2 linked regions of the Diceros bicornis minor genome follow. The protein of the gene in region 1 interacts with the protein of each later gene in a pairwise test. Links are inferred from orthologs where the notes say so. Each region holds a gene or a part of one and is shown in the gene's direction. Other genes may lie near its edges.

Region 1 (7,118 bases):
TGACTTGAAAGAACTCATATAGACTATGGAAAAGCAGAGCGGGCCTCCACCTACTCTCTGCGCATGTAAGCTCAGCTTACAAACTCTCTGTACTTATTAACTGTACCTATATTTATGTGGTATTTTTCAGTACTACCAGTGCTTTCATGTCTTTTCTCAATTAATACATAGTTCAGTGACAAAGAGACCAGCAAAGGTGTGCTGTCAAAACAACTTATTATGCAAAGTAAAATAGGAGATTAGGAGAGAGCAAGCCCTTCCTAAATGCTCCTCAGGTGCTGACAGTAAAAGCATGCAACCAGCAACCAGTCAATCAAAAAGATAAGTGCCATAAAGTAGAATCAAAAAGACAGGAGGCAAGAGGTGGCAAGCCCAGCAAAGTAGGAAGGAGTAATGACAGACTGACAAGAGGAAGAAGCATCCAGCAAAACTGGGAGAGAAGCAGGAAGAAGTGTAGCAAAAAGCAAGTAGACTTTTATATGTGTATATTCTTCTCTGGAACAATATCCAAGAACTATGAAGTAGTGACTGCCTCTGAGGAGAGGAACTAGGGGACTGGGGGAGAGGGATGGGAGGGAGGCTTACTCTTCACAGGATACTTTTAGTACTTTAAAAATTTTGTACAATGTGTATGTACTATTTAAAAGTTGACTGAAAAAAAAAAGAAGAAAAAAGAAAATCAAGCAGAGATGTTGACAGCAAGAGCCAGCCAGCTAGCCAACAAAAAGGCAGGAAGACAATGAGAGACTGGAAAAATGGCAAAAAGACTGAGGCAGGCAGACTGTCTAAGGAACCAGCAAGACAAAAAGAAGAGACAAATGAAATGGAGGCAAGCAGTGAGGGAAGGCAGGGTAGGGGATATGGGAAGAAGGCAGATAAGAGTTTGGGGCAAGGGGGTCACTGAGAGGTTTGGGGTAGAGAGACCGTCACCAGTGACAGGATGTTGGTATAGAGGAAGCTAAGGGAGGAAAAGCTGATAAGCAGACAGACTAAAAAGATACAAGCATTAAACAGTGAGATAGCAGCAAGCAAGTAGGGTAGACAGGCAAGAAGACAATCATAAAGGGAGGCAAGGAAAAATCATGAACTTTACAGGCATAAATAAGAGGAGGAAGAAGTAGAAGGGCAAGATAAGAGGCAAACCAAGATAGGGAACCATGGCAGGGCCTGGCAGGTAGACAGACCAAGGCTAAAAAAGTGATAGAGACAGGCAGGCGGGGAGACAGATGGCTAGAGAGCGAGCAGTGGGCAAACAGCCAGAGAAGCAGACAGACAACCAGAGAGAGAAAGAGGCTGCCAGCCAGTCAGGGAGAAGCAGACAGGCAGGCAGGCAGGCAGGCAGACAGACAGCGTAACAGGAGCAAGCAGGTAGAGAGGCAGGTAGAAACGAGGAAAGAAGAAAAATCAAGAGGTCAGCAAGGAGAAAAAGAGAAGAGGAGATGCAGGCAGAGTGGGAGATGGACAAGAGGGAGAATCAGGCAAATTAACAGATTTACATGCAAAGCACACTCAAGAGAATGACGAATGTTTGTATAGGGATGCACACAGCCACCTTTAGCCACTCACACCTGCAGCTCATGGCACATGCGGCAGGCAGGCAGAGGCGCTCAGCACAGAGGGAGAGGGCACAGAGGCAGAGACTGCGGCACACATGATGTGCAGGGTTGCCCACACACATGTGGGGACACTCTTCCCAGACACACACAGAGGGGCCAGAAAGAGGGGGAGTCAGGCACACATGAGGAAGAGGCACATACAGTCAGGGCCTGGAAGACAGACGTAAGCAGAAAGAAGACAAAGATGAAAAGTCACTTAGAGGTGACAGAGCCTGAGAGTCAAAGGGATAAGAAAGTCTCTGTGAAAAAATAAACACACACATACAGAGAAGCCCATATGCAGAAAGGGGGATAGTAAAGAGAGACTGAGAAAGAGAACAGAACAAAATTGAATGGAAGAGGGACAGGAGTTAGACTCAATACAGGAATGATATGAGAACAGAGGCAAGCGAATTCCAAATGCCAGGTTAAGAAAAAGATGGAAATCAATGCTCAATAAAGTGTATTAGTCTATGTAGGGGGGGGTGGCACATCAATAAAGAACATTTTAGCCTCCTAAGCAAAAATTTGCATAGTATTCTTTGTCACTAATACTTTCTGGTTGCTGCCTACCTATCCCTACCTCTTAAGGTGCTCTGAACACTGCAGGGGCTGCTGGGTGGCTGACAGCTCTACTTAAGCGGTAGAGAAATAACCCAGGAGAGAAATGATTCCACAGGCATGGGATAGGAAGCAAGGAAAGGGGCAACATGAAATCAAAAGAATGGGAGGAAACTGGAGTAAGAAAAGGGTGACAAGAATGAAAAAGGGTAGAACTGAGCTATTTGCCCTCTTTCCTTTGCTAGCATTGCTCAACTGGCAAGTTTTATTTTATGACTTCTCTGCTCACATCTCTGGGTGAGAAAGCTACTTTCGGACTCCTTTTCAATCCATCTGACTCCTGGTACCACTTTTAAGATAACACTGGAGTACAGTGGGAAATCATGGGTCAGAAAGTTAGATGAAAATGCGAGTGTAACCCCCTACCTCTTTCTTTTTCTCAGTCCCAGTTACTTTTCTCTTTGACGGTACCTCAGTTTCTTCTACTTTATCAGTGTTGGAGACCATGGAGGAAGGGAAATATACTGAAACGGGAGAAAAGAGAAAATAATTTCACAATCTTCAGACTTGACTCTTTCCCCTTTATTCTAAAAATCTGTTCTATTTACCCCTAAATTAATTCCCCAAATCAGATGAATTTTATATTCAAGCAACTGGGGGAGGGAAGGGAGAGGTAAAGGAGAAAAGAGTGAAGATAAAATTTACAACAATTATAAATCACTGAAAAGGCTGGGCAAAGGGGAGAATCAAACATGGACTCCTTTGAAAAAAACTCAATCATCCTATCTATTCATATCTCTCCCCCAAAAGTCACTAGGATTTCTATTACTTTTTTAAAGAAAGAAAAAAAAATCCAGTACTGCTTCTCACTTAAAAGATACATATACAATTAAATGCGTTTTGACTTCAATGAGGTATGTAGAAACAGAGTTATACATAAACATATATTTCATCTTTCTCCTTTTCAATGCCTGAAGGGGAAAAAAAAACCTTCACATCAAACCACTCCCTTCTGAAGTATTCAGAAAAAAAAAAAAAAGCTTTTCTTTAAGAGAAGGGAGGTGGGGAGGAAGACTAGTAAAGAAAAGAAAAAAATTTAAATCTAGTTGGACTAGTATCTAACTAGTTAACCTTTAACAATTTATGCTGATGTCAGACTGAGCATGAGTACTGATTAATGCCCCCCCTCAAATATTTTTTTATAAGGGGGGAGTTAGTCACAGCAGCCATTTTTGTTTTATGCAGAAGTCCTTCATGCCCCCCCCAACGCGCATAGACACACACACACACACTCAGTACACAAGGAAAATATCTCTATTAATCTGTGCACTAATCAGTTATGAAAAAAGGGAGAAATTTGTGGGTTTCTGGGTAGAGGCTTGGAGATGGGGGTGTAACAGGGAGGAGAATGGGGGGGTGAAAAATGAAATATTAAGCCAGCCATTTTGTTTTAAAAGGGGATTTTCCCCCCCTCTCCCTTTTTTCATGGAGGGGGTGGCGGTGCTGGGGGGGGGGGTTGTTTTAAAAATAATTTCAAGGCGGCCATCTTAGTGCCTCAGCTCTGAGAAATATTTCTGAGCGCCCCCCTCAGAATTTAAATATATTTAAAGCAACAGACAGGGAGGTAGAGAGAAGTCGAAAACTTTTATATACATATATATATATATTTTTTTTAATCCCCCTTTCTTGTTCTCTTGGGAGGAAGGAGAGAGGGGGAAAAAAAAAGTCTCTCCTCAATTTTTTCCAAGAAAATTTCTGGGGGTGGTTTGGCCCCCCTCCTCAGACGGCGGCCCCGGGGGTGGGGGTTTTGGAGGGGGGTGGCCCGGGGGTTTGGGGGGCTGGGGGAGGCGGTGAGGAGGAGGAGGACGCCGCCGCCGAAGAGGAGGAGGAGGAGGAGGAGGAGGAGGAGGTGGTGGTGGTGGTAGCGGTGGGGGAGGCGGGCGGGCGGTGGGTGGGGGGGTGGTGGGGGGGCCAGAGCCACAGGATGGCTTCCCCTCTGAGGGACGAGGAGGAGGAGGAGGAGGAGATGGTGGTGTCGGAGGAGGAAGAAGAGGAGGAAGAAGAGGGCGACGAGGAGGAGGAGGAGGTGGAGGCGCCCGACGAGGACTATGAGGACGACGACGAAGGAGTACTCGGGCGCGGGCCGGGCCACGACCGGGGCCGCGACCGCCACAGCCCCCCCGGCTGCCACCTCTTCCCGCCGCCGCCGCCGCCGCCGCCACTGCTGCCCCCGCCGCCGCCACCCCCGCCGCCAGGTAAGCGGCAGCTCCGACTCCCCCCCAGCCCGAGTGGGAGCCGCGGGCGCGCGGGGCCGGGCGGGGGCGAGGCACCCACCGCGCGGCCGAGCCGAAGCGAATCCGGGCGCGGGCGCCGTCTCGGGCCCGGCGGTCCGAGCGGTCCGGGCGGGCGGCGGCGGCGGCGGCGGCCGCGGGGCCAGGCCTCCTCCCCTCCCCCGCCGCACCCCTCCCCCGCCGCCGCCGCCGCCCGCCGCCGCCCCGGCTGGAGAGCGCTGGGCGCGAGCTGCGCGCGCGGACCGGGCCACTCGGTCGCGGCTTTCGGGGGAAGAGGAGGAGGAGATTTTTTTTTACCCTCGGCGGGGAGGGGGTAGGCAGGAAACGGCCGAGGCGAAGCCAGGGCCCCCTCCCTGGCCGAGCGAGGGACCGCGGAGACCCTGGCGGCCGGACGGCGGCGTGGGGGAGGGGCGCGTGGGGGAGGGGCGGCCGTGCGGGCGCCCTTCGGGCTTCGGCCCCGGTGGGGTTGGATTGAGGTAAAGTGGGGTTTCGACGTGTGGGGCCGACCGCGGCCCTAACTCCTTCCCCTCTGGAGTTGGGAAGGCGGGGGGAGGGAGTGGGTGTCCAGCGGAGCCCCCCACCTGCGGGGACTTTGGTGCCCGCCAACTCTGGGGCGTGCGGTGGCACATGGGGGAGGGGTCGTGTGAATGTTTGTGGGCGGCTGACGACTAGGGGCAGGTGGTGGCCACACTCCACGCAGACCACTTCCTGGAATGTGACTTGATCCTACCCCCTTTCCCCCCAGTTCGTAATAGGCAGAGCAGTCACTTAAGATTGGGGAGCGAGAGGACAGTGTCTGGGAAACCAGATGCCCCCAACTCCACCCCCTTTATCTCTCCTCTGCTCTGGGCTCCTTTGTGTCAAGTGCGCCCCCCCTCCCTCCATGACCCCGTCAGTCTGGGGTGGCCGAGCTGCCCAGCTGTGACTCTCACGTGGCTGCCATTCACTGTCACTCACTCTCTCGCTCAAACCACCCACACCCTGACCACTTTGGGGGTCGTGAACTTCCCACCCAGCTGTTCTGCAGTTTGACCATCACTCAGCACCCCTCCCCGGGATAAGTCACCCGGCATTCTGGGCAGTTCCACCAGTGGCGGAGGGGACAGACCGCTGCCTTGCATGGGGGGCCCAGCAATGGCCTCACTCAGACCACCCTCCTAGTGGAGTTATTTCTAGTTTTCTTTACAATAGGTGAACATCTTTAGAGTGTTCACACCCCATGCTTGGGGAATGAAAGGGTACATCCGCACCTCAGGCCTCTGGGTGCTGTGCTGCACAAATGCACCAAACTTCAAAACATCTAACATCATGCTCTTTGTAAAACTGTTATATTGATCTGTGTGGCTTATGTGGCAAATGATCCTGTCTAGTTGAGACAACCTTTGAGGGAATGTGGCATGTTTCCTTATGAGGGGCAGAAGGATGTATGTCTGATGGAAACAGAATAAAGCCCCCCGCCCCCCACCAATCTTTTCTGAAAAAGGGAAAAGTTTTTAGAAAGTTATCCCAGAGAGCCCACTGATTTGCACGAGGGAAAAGGAATAAAGAATTGTGGGGAGGGGGTTGCCTGGAAAACAGCAGGGGTGCTAAAAAGAGGGAAAGAAAGGATGTCAGGTTAGGTTAGGGGTTTGGCGGCTCTCATCTATTTGTATTCCGAACTTGGAATGTGGTGTTTGGGTGTTTTTGATCCCGGATTTGGGTATGTGGGAGAAAGAGGAGCATGAAAGAATCTGAGGTCGAGATGGGTCTTTGTGTCAATCCTCCCTTCCCTTTCCCAACTCTGCCTTCTGAGTAGACGAGAAGAAACGTCAATGTTTTTAAATTTTTATATTTGAAATGAAAAACCACCTCCTCTCTCTCCCAGGGCAATTTATCTCCCTTTCAGCCCTCCGAGTCAAATGAGTGACCCAGATACACCCCCTCAGATGACTTTCTGAGGTAAAACTTTGGGAAAATATTTTTAGTCTGCTCATTATTTTTGTCTACCTAAGTGTGAGCAAAATAACCCTCCTAAAGGAAATTTATTCCGGCTGCCCTCCCTCTTTTCTCTAGAATATGAATTTGTACGTATTAGGGGTTTCTATTGTTTTTCATTCTGACTGCTTTGATTTTCACCATTTTGTTTTACATTCTTACCCAAGACCAATTTTATCCCTTCCCCCCTCTCCAGTCTCCTTACATTGTTAAACGTTTAAAATAATAGCACTCGTGTTGATGGGGGAAGGGAGCAGGAAGCCAAAAACTCATTTCTTCTCCCTCCCCCTTCTGGCAAGTCTAGAGAAATAATATAACATAATATATAGATGTGATTCCTTGGGGGTGGGGGTGGGGAATGATTGTGGGTGGTGCGGAAAATTCTGGTAGTTTCTTTGCAAAAGGTCTGAAAATACAAACCCACCCCCTGCGTGCAATACGCATGTGCAGCAGACCTATTATGGTGGTTCGTTGTGGGGGAGGGAGGGGAATTTGAGAAAAAATAAATATATGTGTGAGAGATTGATGGTGAGATTAGAAGGAGAGAGGGGCGGGCGGGAGGCGAGGCTTTCTGCGAGGCTCCTCCTGCTTTCTCCGGCTTGCCAGGCCCCGCCCTCCCGCTCCTCGCCCGCCCTCCTCCCTCGCAGTCTTCCCGAGATCTGAGCCAGGGCTGTGGGAGAGTCTGGGCTCCAGGCCA
Region 2 (7,468 bases), on another chromosome or scaffold:
ATTTCACTGATCTTATCACAATTGGCTCAACTGGCAAAAAAGAGGATATTCTTTTAAGAAAAATGCAAGTAGAAACAATTGTAAAATAATGCACTTTTTTTTTTACCTTTCCCAACTTACTTCTTTGGTTTATTTTCCCATCAACCATATGAGGAACACAGGGCCGATTATAATCATCCTAATTTTATAGAGAAAAGATAAGCGAAGAGGTAGCAGTAATCCAGTGGCAAAACAGAGCACGTGGAACGCAGCTCTCTAGTGATTCACAAAAGTTCACACCCTTTACAGCCAGACGGGCCCCTCTCCACTGGCCCTCACCCAGGTGCTACTCCCTGCATGTAATTAAAAGTAATCAAGCTGCATGCTTTTAAATTCTTGACCGATCTTTCTGTGAATTTCAAGTCAATCTGGAAGATTTTAGTGTATTTTATTTTATTATTCCTAATGGAATTCAGATATTTAGTAAGTCAAGGTAATTTACCTTTTGTATGTAGTTAAATTTCACTGCATTTCCACTGGCGCCAATAAATAACTGCTACAGAAGGGCATCCACACCTCACTGCTTTTTTTTTGGCATGCTTTATTTTCTAAGCTGTATGGACATGCGTGTGTGGGGTTTTTGTCTGTTTGGTATTATAATTACTAAAGATAGTTTTTATGTCTTGAATTATTAGAAAGATCAGTCTATTACACTGACCACATTAAGCGCAATGTCGCAAATAACTCATGCTAATGTGGTGGAGTGTATTTTAGGAATGCATTTAGGGATGCAATCTCCCAGCAGAAAAATGGTCATGGAAAAATGTGAGGCTGCTTCATAAGTTACCATCAGTAAATTCTACAGTAAACAATAGCCCCATAAAAAACACACAGCCAGCTAATATCAGTTAGAAGCTACTCATCTCTATTTCTTTTTTTTTTTTTTTGTGAGGAAGATCAGCCCTGAGCTAACATCCATGCTAATCCTCCTCTTTTTGTTGAGGAAGACCGGCCCTGAGCTAACATCTACTGCCAATCCTCCTCCTTTTTTTCCCCCCAAAGCCCCAGTAGGTAATTGTATGTCATAGTTGCACATCCTTCTAGTTGCTGTATGTGGGACGTGGCCTCAGCATGGCCGGAGAAGCGGTGCGTCAGTGTGAGCCTGGGATCCGGGCCTGGGCCGCCAGTAGCGGAGTGCACGCACTTAACCGCTAAGCCACGGGGCCGGCCCTACTCATCTCTATTTCAACAGTTCTAAAGGTGTTCTTAATCTTGAAGCAACTAGAGTTGGTTGCTTTACAACTGTTTTAGGCAGTTATGATTTGGATATCAGGAGGGAGTGCCTGCAGCGCATGCCTTAAGAACTTGCTGTGGCTGGCTATGTTGGAAAGGAAACTGGAGGAAAATGGGGGAGCAGGCTATCTCCAGATGTCCAGGAGGAACATGACAGGCCCTTCTCTCAAGTGGTAATGGTCTTTGTGTTGTGGCTTAGTGACGGCAGCTTAAAGATGCCAGAGACAACTCTGGCTTGAAGCAGGGCTTCTCAAGGTATGGTATCTGGTGCATGGGGTGATTCTGGTGTGTGAAGAATCTCTGGAAATTTCATTCACCTCATAATTATGAGACCTTGTTATGACTCTACCTAGTCTTAAGCCTGATTCAAAATGATGGTGTTGATACTAATAATGTTGATAATGACTTTTACTGAGGATTTACTCTGTGCCAGGCTTGGTGCTGAACAGTTCATATGCAATATCTGACCCAGTCCTTACAACAGCCCTCTGAAGTACATACCATTATTTTCTCCATTTTACAGATGAGAAAACTGACAGACAGAAATAAGGAACATGTCCAAGGTCATAAAGTTAATTACTCGCAGAGCCAGGATTCAAATCATGGTCTAATTCCAAAATATATGCTTTTTAAAAAAATTATGGTAAAATACACATTTACTATTTTAACCATTTTAAAGTGTACAATTCAGTGGTATTTAGTATATTCACATTTTGTGCAACCATCACCACTATCTAGTTCCAGAAAATTTTCATTACCCCAAAAGGCAACTTTATGCCCATTAAGCAGTCACTCATCATTCCCTTCACCCAGAACCCTTGGCAACCACTATTCTGCTTTCTGTCTCTATGGATTTGCCTATTCTGGATATTTCAAATGAATGGAATCATATGAATGCCTTCTTTCTCTTAGCATAATGTTTTTAAGGTTGCAGCATGTATCATTTCATTCCTTTTTGTAGCCAAATATTAATCCATTGTACCAATTTGCTATCCATTCATCAGTTGATGTACATTTGGGTTGTTTCCACCTTTTGGTTATAGTGAGTAGTGCTGCTATGAACATTCAAGTACAAGTTTTTGTTTGAACACCTGCTCTCAATTCTTTTGGGTATAAAATATAGGCTTTTTATCATAAACCTCTGCTGACTCCAAGAAGGAGATGACCAAATATCTTAAAGTGTTCAGTAATTCAACAAATACTTAGTGAGAACTTACTGTACAGCTACCTAGAACGCTAAGCACTGGGAACATAAATTGCAATGAATAAGACAGGCCTCCTCCCTGTCCTCCTTGGGAATGACAGAAAATTGAACAAGTGAGTAAAACACAGACCTGGCAGCAGTTAGGATTAAGGGTTCCTTTTCCATTTGCTATTAAAAGAAAGTAAAAGCTGGTAATGACAGACCTGAGCAAGACGCTCTAACAGGATGCTTTTAGAAGCAAGAAGCAAGCACAACTAAGAGTAGCTTAGACAATGGTGGCATCTATTGTCTTACGTAACAATAAGTCTGAGGTAGGGAAGTTCCTGAGTGGGATGTCAGCAGCTCAGCAACATCGGGGAACGAGGAACGAGGCTTCTCCATCCTTCCGCTCCGCCATCCTCATAGTCACAATCAGGGACAGCAGCTCTAGGCGTCATGGCCTCCATACATAACAAAGACCAAAGACGAGAAGTGGGAAGATGGCAGATCCCTTCCCAATCCCTTTTTAGGTATAAGAAAAATGTTCCTAGAAATCCCCCAGAATACTTCCCATCAGGTCTGTTCTGCCAGATTTGCACCACAAGCCTATTCCTACACTCATCATTGGCAACGGAATGGAATTACAATGCATGATTTAAGATTAATCAAGTTTGAGGCTGGAAGTGGGCCCAGGTTCCCTTGGGGCATACAGCCACCTGATGCCCTAACAAAATACAGGTTCCGGGAAAATGTAAGAGGGAAAGAAAGGGCTGCAGGATAGGCAGCCAAGGTCTAGGCAAGATATCCCGGAGGAAGTCCAGTTCAGTGTTCTCTGAGCTCCAGGCGTCAATTGAATATCTCAAAAGAAAAAAAACAAAACAAAACAAAACCCAAACCTCAACATGTCCAAGACTGAACTCATGATTCTCATCAAAATGGTCTCTTTTAGTGCTGTTTCTTTGTGAATAGCACCACCATCCCAGCTGCACGAGTCAGAAAAACAGGAGTCATCACACCTTTCTTCTTCCTCATCACCCATATCTAGTGCATCACCAAGTCCTGTTGATATAACCTCTAAAATAGCTCTTGAAGCTACCACTCTCTTCACCTCCACTGCACCAGCCTAGTCCAAGGCACCATCATCAGCTCTTCCCTGGAGCTCTGCAAGTCTTCGGTCCGGTCTCGCTGCGCTCCCTTTGACCTCCCTCCAACCTAGTCCTTCACATAGCAGCTATGTGGCCTTTTCAAACACATGCTCATGCCTAAAAGTTGTTTCCCACTGCTCCTAGAACAATGACCAATCAAGGCCCTCTCCCAACTCTTTGCAATACAGTTCACTGGTTTTCTTTGAGCTTGAATGGGTTGCGCTCCATCCCACCTGAAACTTCTGCACTTGCCCTTGCTCCTGCGCTCGCCTTCCTTCAGATCTCAGCCTAACCGTCACTTCCTAGGGAAAACCTTTCCAAGCTTGCTAATTAGGTCGGGTCCCTTTGCTACAGGCTGGAAGAGAGGTCTATGCCTTTCCTTCAGGGCACTTTTCTGTCTACAGACTTAAGATCCATAAAAACACGGAGCTATTATCTTCTACAACGTAACGCCTGGCACATAGTAAATGTTCAATACACAGTTGTTGAATAGCTAAACGAATATATGTACTTAAAAGCGGAGTGGCCGATAACGAATGCGGAGCCAGTCCTAAAGAGAACACAAATAATGGCCGTGACCCATGCACCTCGGAGCTGCCTGGACCACAAGACTCGTTGCTCCTCCCAGTAGCTCCGCCCCGTGGGCCCCGCCCCTCCCTGCTGAGACGGGGGAGGGGCATAGGGGTCGCGCGACGTGACAGCAGCCGGCCGCTGATTGGGCTTCCAGTTGTGCCGGCTAGGAAAGGGGGCGTGTCCGCGCGCGCTGATTGGCTATCTGGCGGCGGCTGGGCGGGCGGTGGCGGCGGCGCGGGGGCGGGCCCTGGGAGGGACCTGACCAGGCAGGGCAGGGAGGGCGGCCGCAGCGGGCGGGATGGGTCGTCGCCGCCGGCTTCGCTGAGACTCGCTCGCGTGGGCTGCTCCGGCGGGCCCGCAGTGGTCGCGGCGGCATGAAAGGCGCTCTAGGGAGCCCCGTGGCTGCGGCCGCCGCAGGCGCTGCGATGCAGGAGAGTTTCGGCTGCGTCGTGGCCAACCGCTTCCACCAGCTGCTAGACGACGAGTCGGACCCGTTCGACATCCTACGCGAGGCCGAGCGCCGGCGCCAGCAGCAGCTGCAGCGCAAGAGGCGCGACGAGGCGGCGGCGGCGGCGGCCGGGGCCGGCAACCGCGGCGGCAGGAGCCCGGCCGGGGCCTCGGGCCACAGAGCCGGCGCGGGCGGCGGCCGCAGGGAGTCCCAGAAGGAGCGCAAGAGCCTCCCGGCCCCCGGCGCGCAGCAGCCCGACAGCACCGGGGCCGGCCCGCAGCCGCCCGGTACGCCCCCGGGGGTGCACGGTGGGCAGGAGAGGACGGAGAACGGGGTCACAGAGGTCACCCTCAGCCGCCCACGACCCCACTGGGAGACTGGGATCGCTGGAACCTGCTGCAGAGAGCGGAGGGGGCTCGGGGAGCAGTTGGTTGAGTTGAGGGTCCTTGTGGCTGAGAAAAGAGACGGGGATGGGGGGGTGGCACGCCCATTCTGGCCTCTCACGGTCCCTTCTGGGGGTTGGGGGAGTGCAGGCTTGGGCTGGGGGTCTCAGAGCCCCGAAACTGAGCCTTTCCAAGTTGGGCAAAGTTGAGGGATATTGCTGGGGTGCCGTGTGGGGGCTAAAAGTGAGGTCGCTATCCCAGGGCTCTCAAATCTAGAGCCAGCAGGGACTTTCTCCTCCTGCAGCCCAAGCTCTGCAAGATTCGGGTTGGGAGGTAGGAGAACCGTGGTGGGGGGGAGCGCCTCCGGCCCCTGGGTGCGGCGAGAGCAGGGGTTTGCGGCCCGGGGCCGAGGGTCGAGCCTCTGTGATGGAGGGAAGGCCTGGTGACCGCGGGGGGCCTGTGACGTCAGGGCCGTGAGCGGAATGCGGCGGGTGGACGCGGGTGCTGGCGCCTTCCGAGCCGTGCCTGCACCCGGCCCCTTACGGCTTCCAGCAGTCAGCCGGCATCGTGTTGCATCACTGCACGTAGTGTTGATGGGATGTGTGAGTTGTCGGTGACTCAGGCTGCTTTAAGAAAAACGTTTTAACCTTTCCGACAGGCATATTCTAAGTTCCCCCTCCCTGCTTAGCCAGAAGCTCCAGTGCGAAGCTTGGTGTACTACTGTCTATCTGGGGAGGGAGGGTGTGCGAGTCGTTTCTCACCTGAACTGCAACAGTGGCATAGTCAGCAAGACTCCACCCGTGTTTCCCTTTTTCCTAAAATTAGGCAGTGGTCCTAAGGTTTGACTATATAGTTCGACTGCTTCAGCCAATGTTCGGCGGTGTAGTCAGCTCGTCTTTACTGGCTTGCTCTTTGCTTGATAGAAACTGTGCATCCCAGCCGTGAGAGAACAACTCCTGAGTTAAGTGTTGGGCTTTGACTCCTACACCTAGGTAACGTTGACTTTTATCTGTGGAAAGGTCAGTGCAGCAATATTGCTTGAGAATCAGCAAGTCAAGTCACTGTAATAAAGATGTTGAAAATTATTTAAAATGCTTTTGGATATCTGAAGACCTCTTGGTAGGCCAGTAAGTTTATGAGCCTATTTAAACAGTGATAGAAACTTGAGATATAATGTACATTTTTTGTATTCCATTTTTTCTCATAAATCTATTTAGATAAATATCACAATAATGAAAGAATTGAAGAAAGCTAAGCTTTTTCTCTCCCTTTATTTTTTTAACAAATGCAAGTAAATATTTTATCCTTTAGAATAGTGTGAAACTGCATTTGGTGCTAATATATCACTTTTTAACCTTTTGAAAATTTAAAATGTCATGCATTTTTGTTATAAGATTTTAAATAATTGAGAAACGTATGAAAGTGAAAATCCCGTATTTTTCCTACTGTTAACACCTTGCATTTATATACATAAATGCACAAAGCTATTTTTTCCTAAAATGATACAAACTGAGTTGCAACCTGCTTCTTTCACTTAGCGTTGTAGTCTAGTTTAAAACTTTTTTTCAGTCAATTGTTTGTGATCCAGGTGGTCTGGCTTTTGAGATCTGTATTAAAGATCTTTAGTTAATTTTGTAGTTAAAATGGAAATCTTGTCATTCTGGTTCTTTTTCAAGTGTGTTCTTTCAGAAGCAAACAGCTCATAATTTCCATTTATGTAGTTATTGTACTAAATTTATCTGTAATGGGTGTTAGAGAGCTACTCTCTCGAGGTTTGTTGCCCTAATTGTATTGGACTGTGCTTTTCTAACACTCAAAATTTTTAATTTAGTTAGAATATTATAAGTGAATGCTTAGTGCAGATAAGAATCAAAGGCAAAACATGTTTCACATATAATAGAAACATTTATTAATCTCAAAAGGATGTGGAAATCATAAGATTTTCCCGTGGAAATGGAGATTTTTTTAATGTCCTTAACTATTTGACAGTGTACGTAGACCCTCGGGTGAGCTTTGCTCCATAAATTCCTCCTGAAGTCCTCAGGGACTCTTCAGCTTTGCTGTCTCTAGCCTTTCAGGACTGTTGTCCTTGGTCAAAGCTCAACTTTATTTTGTAGGAACTGTCACTGTGTATTTTACTGTATTCTGTCTCTTCATATGGGTTTGGGTTTAGGTCAGTGATCAGACTGCTTGTGCCAGCCTTTATTGGAAAGGGCCGGTGAAATTCAGTTTTTGCCCTCTCCTCTTGGAGCTGCTGATCCAGCACAGAAAAACTAGGTTCGGCTGCAGTCTTGATCTCTTAGTGCTCAATTGTGGGAAAAAACCGGACCCCTGTTATCTTTGTCTTTTTGGTTTTAGGAGAATGAAGTGTTTGCAGGGTATTGATAATTATTCTAATAAGTAGCCAATCATATTTAATGGTTTTCAAGTTATACACAGAAACTTTGGAAGAAGCTTTAATATA

The links.
Region 2: the proteins of CHD3 (region 1) and HABP4 interact in a two-hybrid assay, tested with the Homo sapiens proteins (3 studies listed by BioGRID and IntAct). The link is inferred for Diceros bicornis minor from reciprocal best matches to the Homo sapiens genes CHD3 and HABP4.

The regions. Positions count from the first base shown.
Region 1 is NC_080757.1:10,508,193-10,515,310, reverse strand, and holds the start of CHD3 (chromodomain-helicase-DNA-binding protein 3), read left to right. Parts: upstream 1-4,116; 5' UTR 4,117-4,140; coding exon 4,141-4,411; intron 4,412-4,490; exon of another isoform or gene 4,491-4,552; intron 4,553-7,118.
Region 2 is NC_080761.1:3,916,088-3,923,555, reverse strand, and holds the start of HABP4 (intracellular hyaluronan-binding protein 4), read left to right. Parts: upstream 1-4,465; 5' UTR 4,466-4,547; coding exon 4,548-4,908; intron 4,909-7,468. UniProt on the Homo sapiens protein: Ribosome-binding protein that promotes ribosome hibernation, a process during which ribosomes are stabilized in an inactive state and preserved from proteasomal degradation.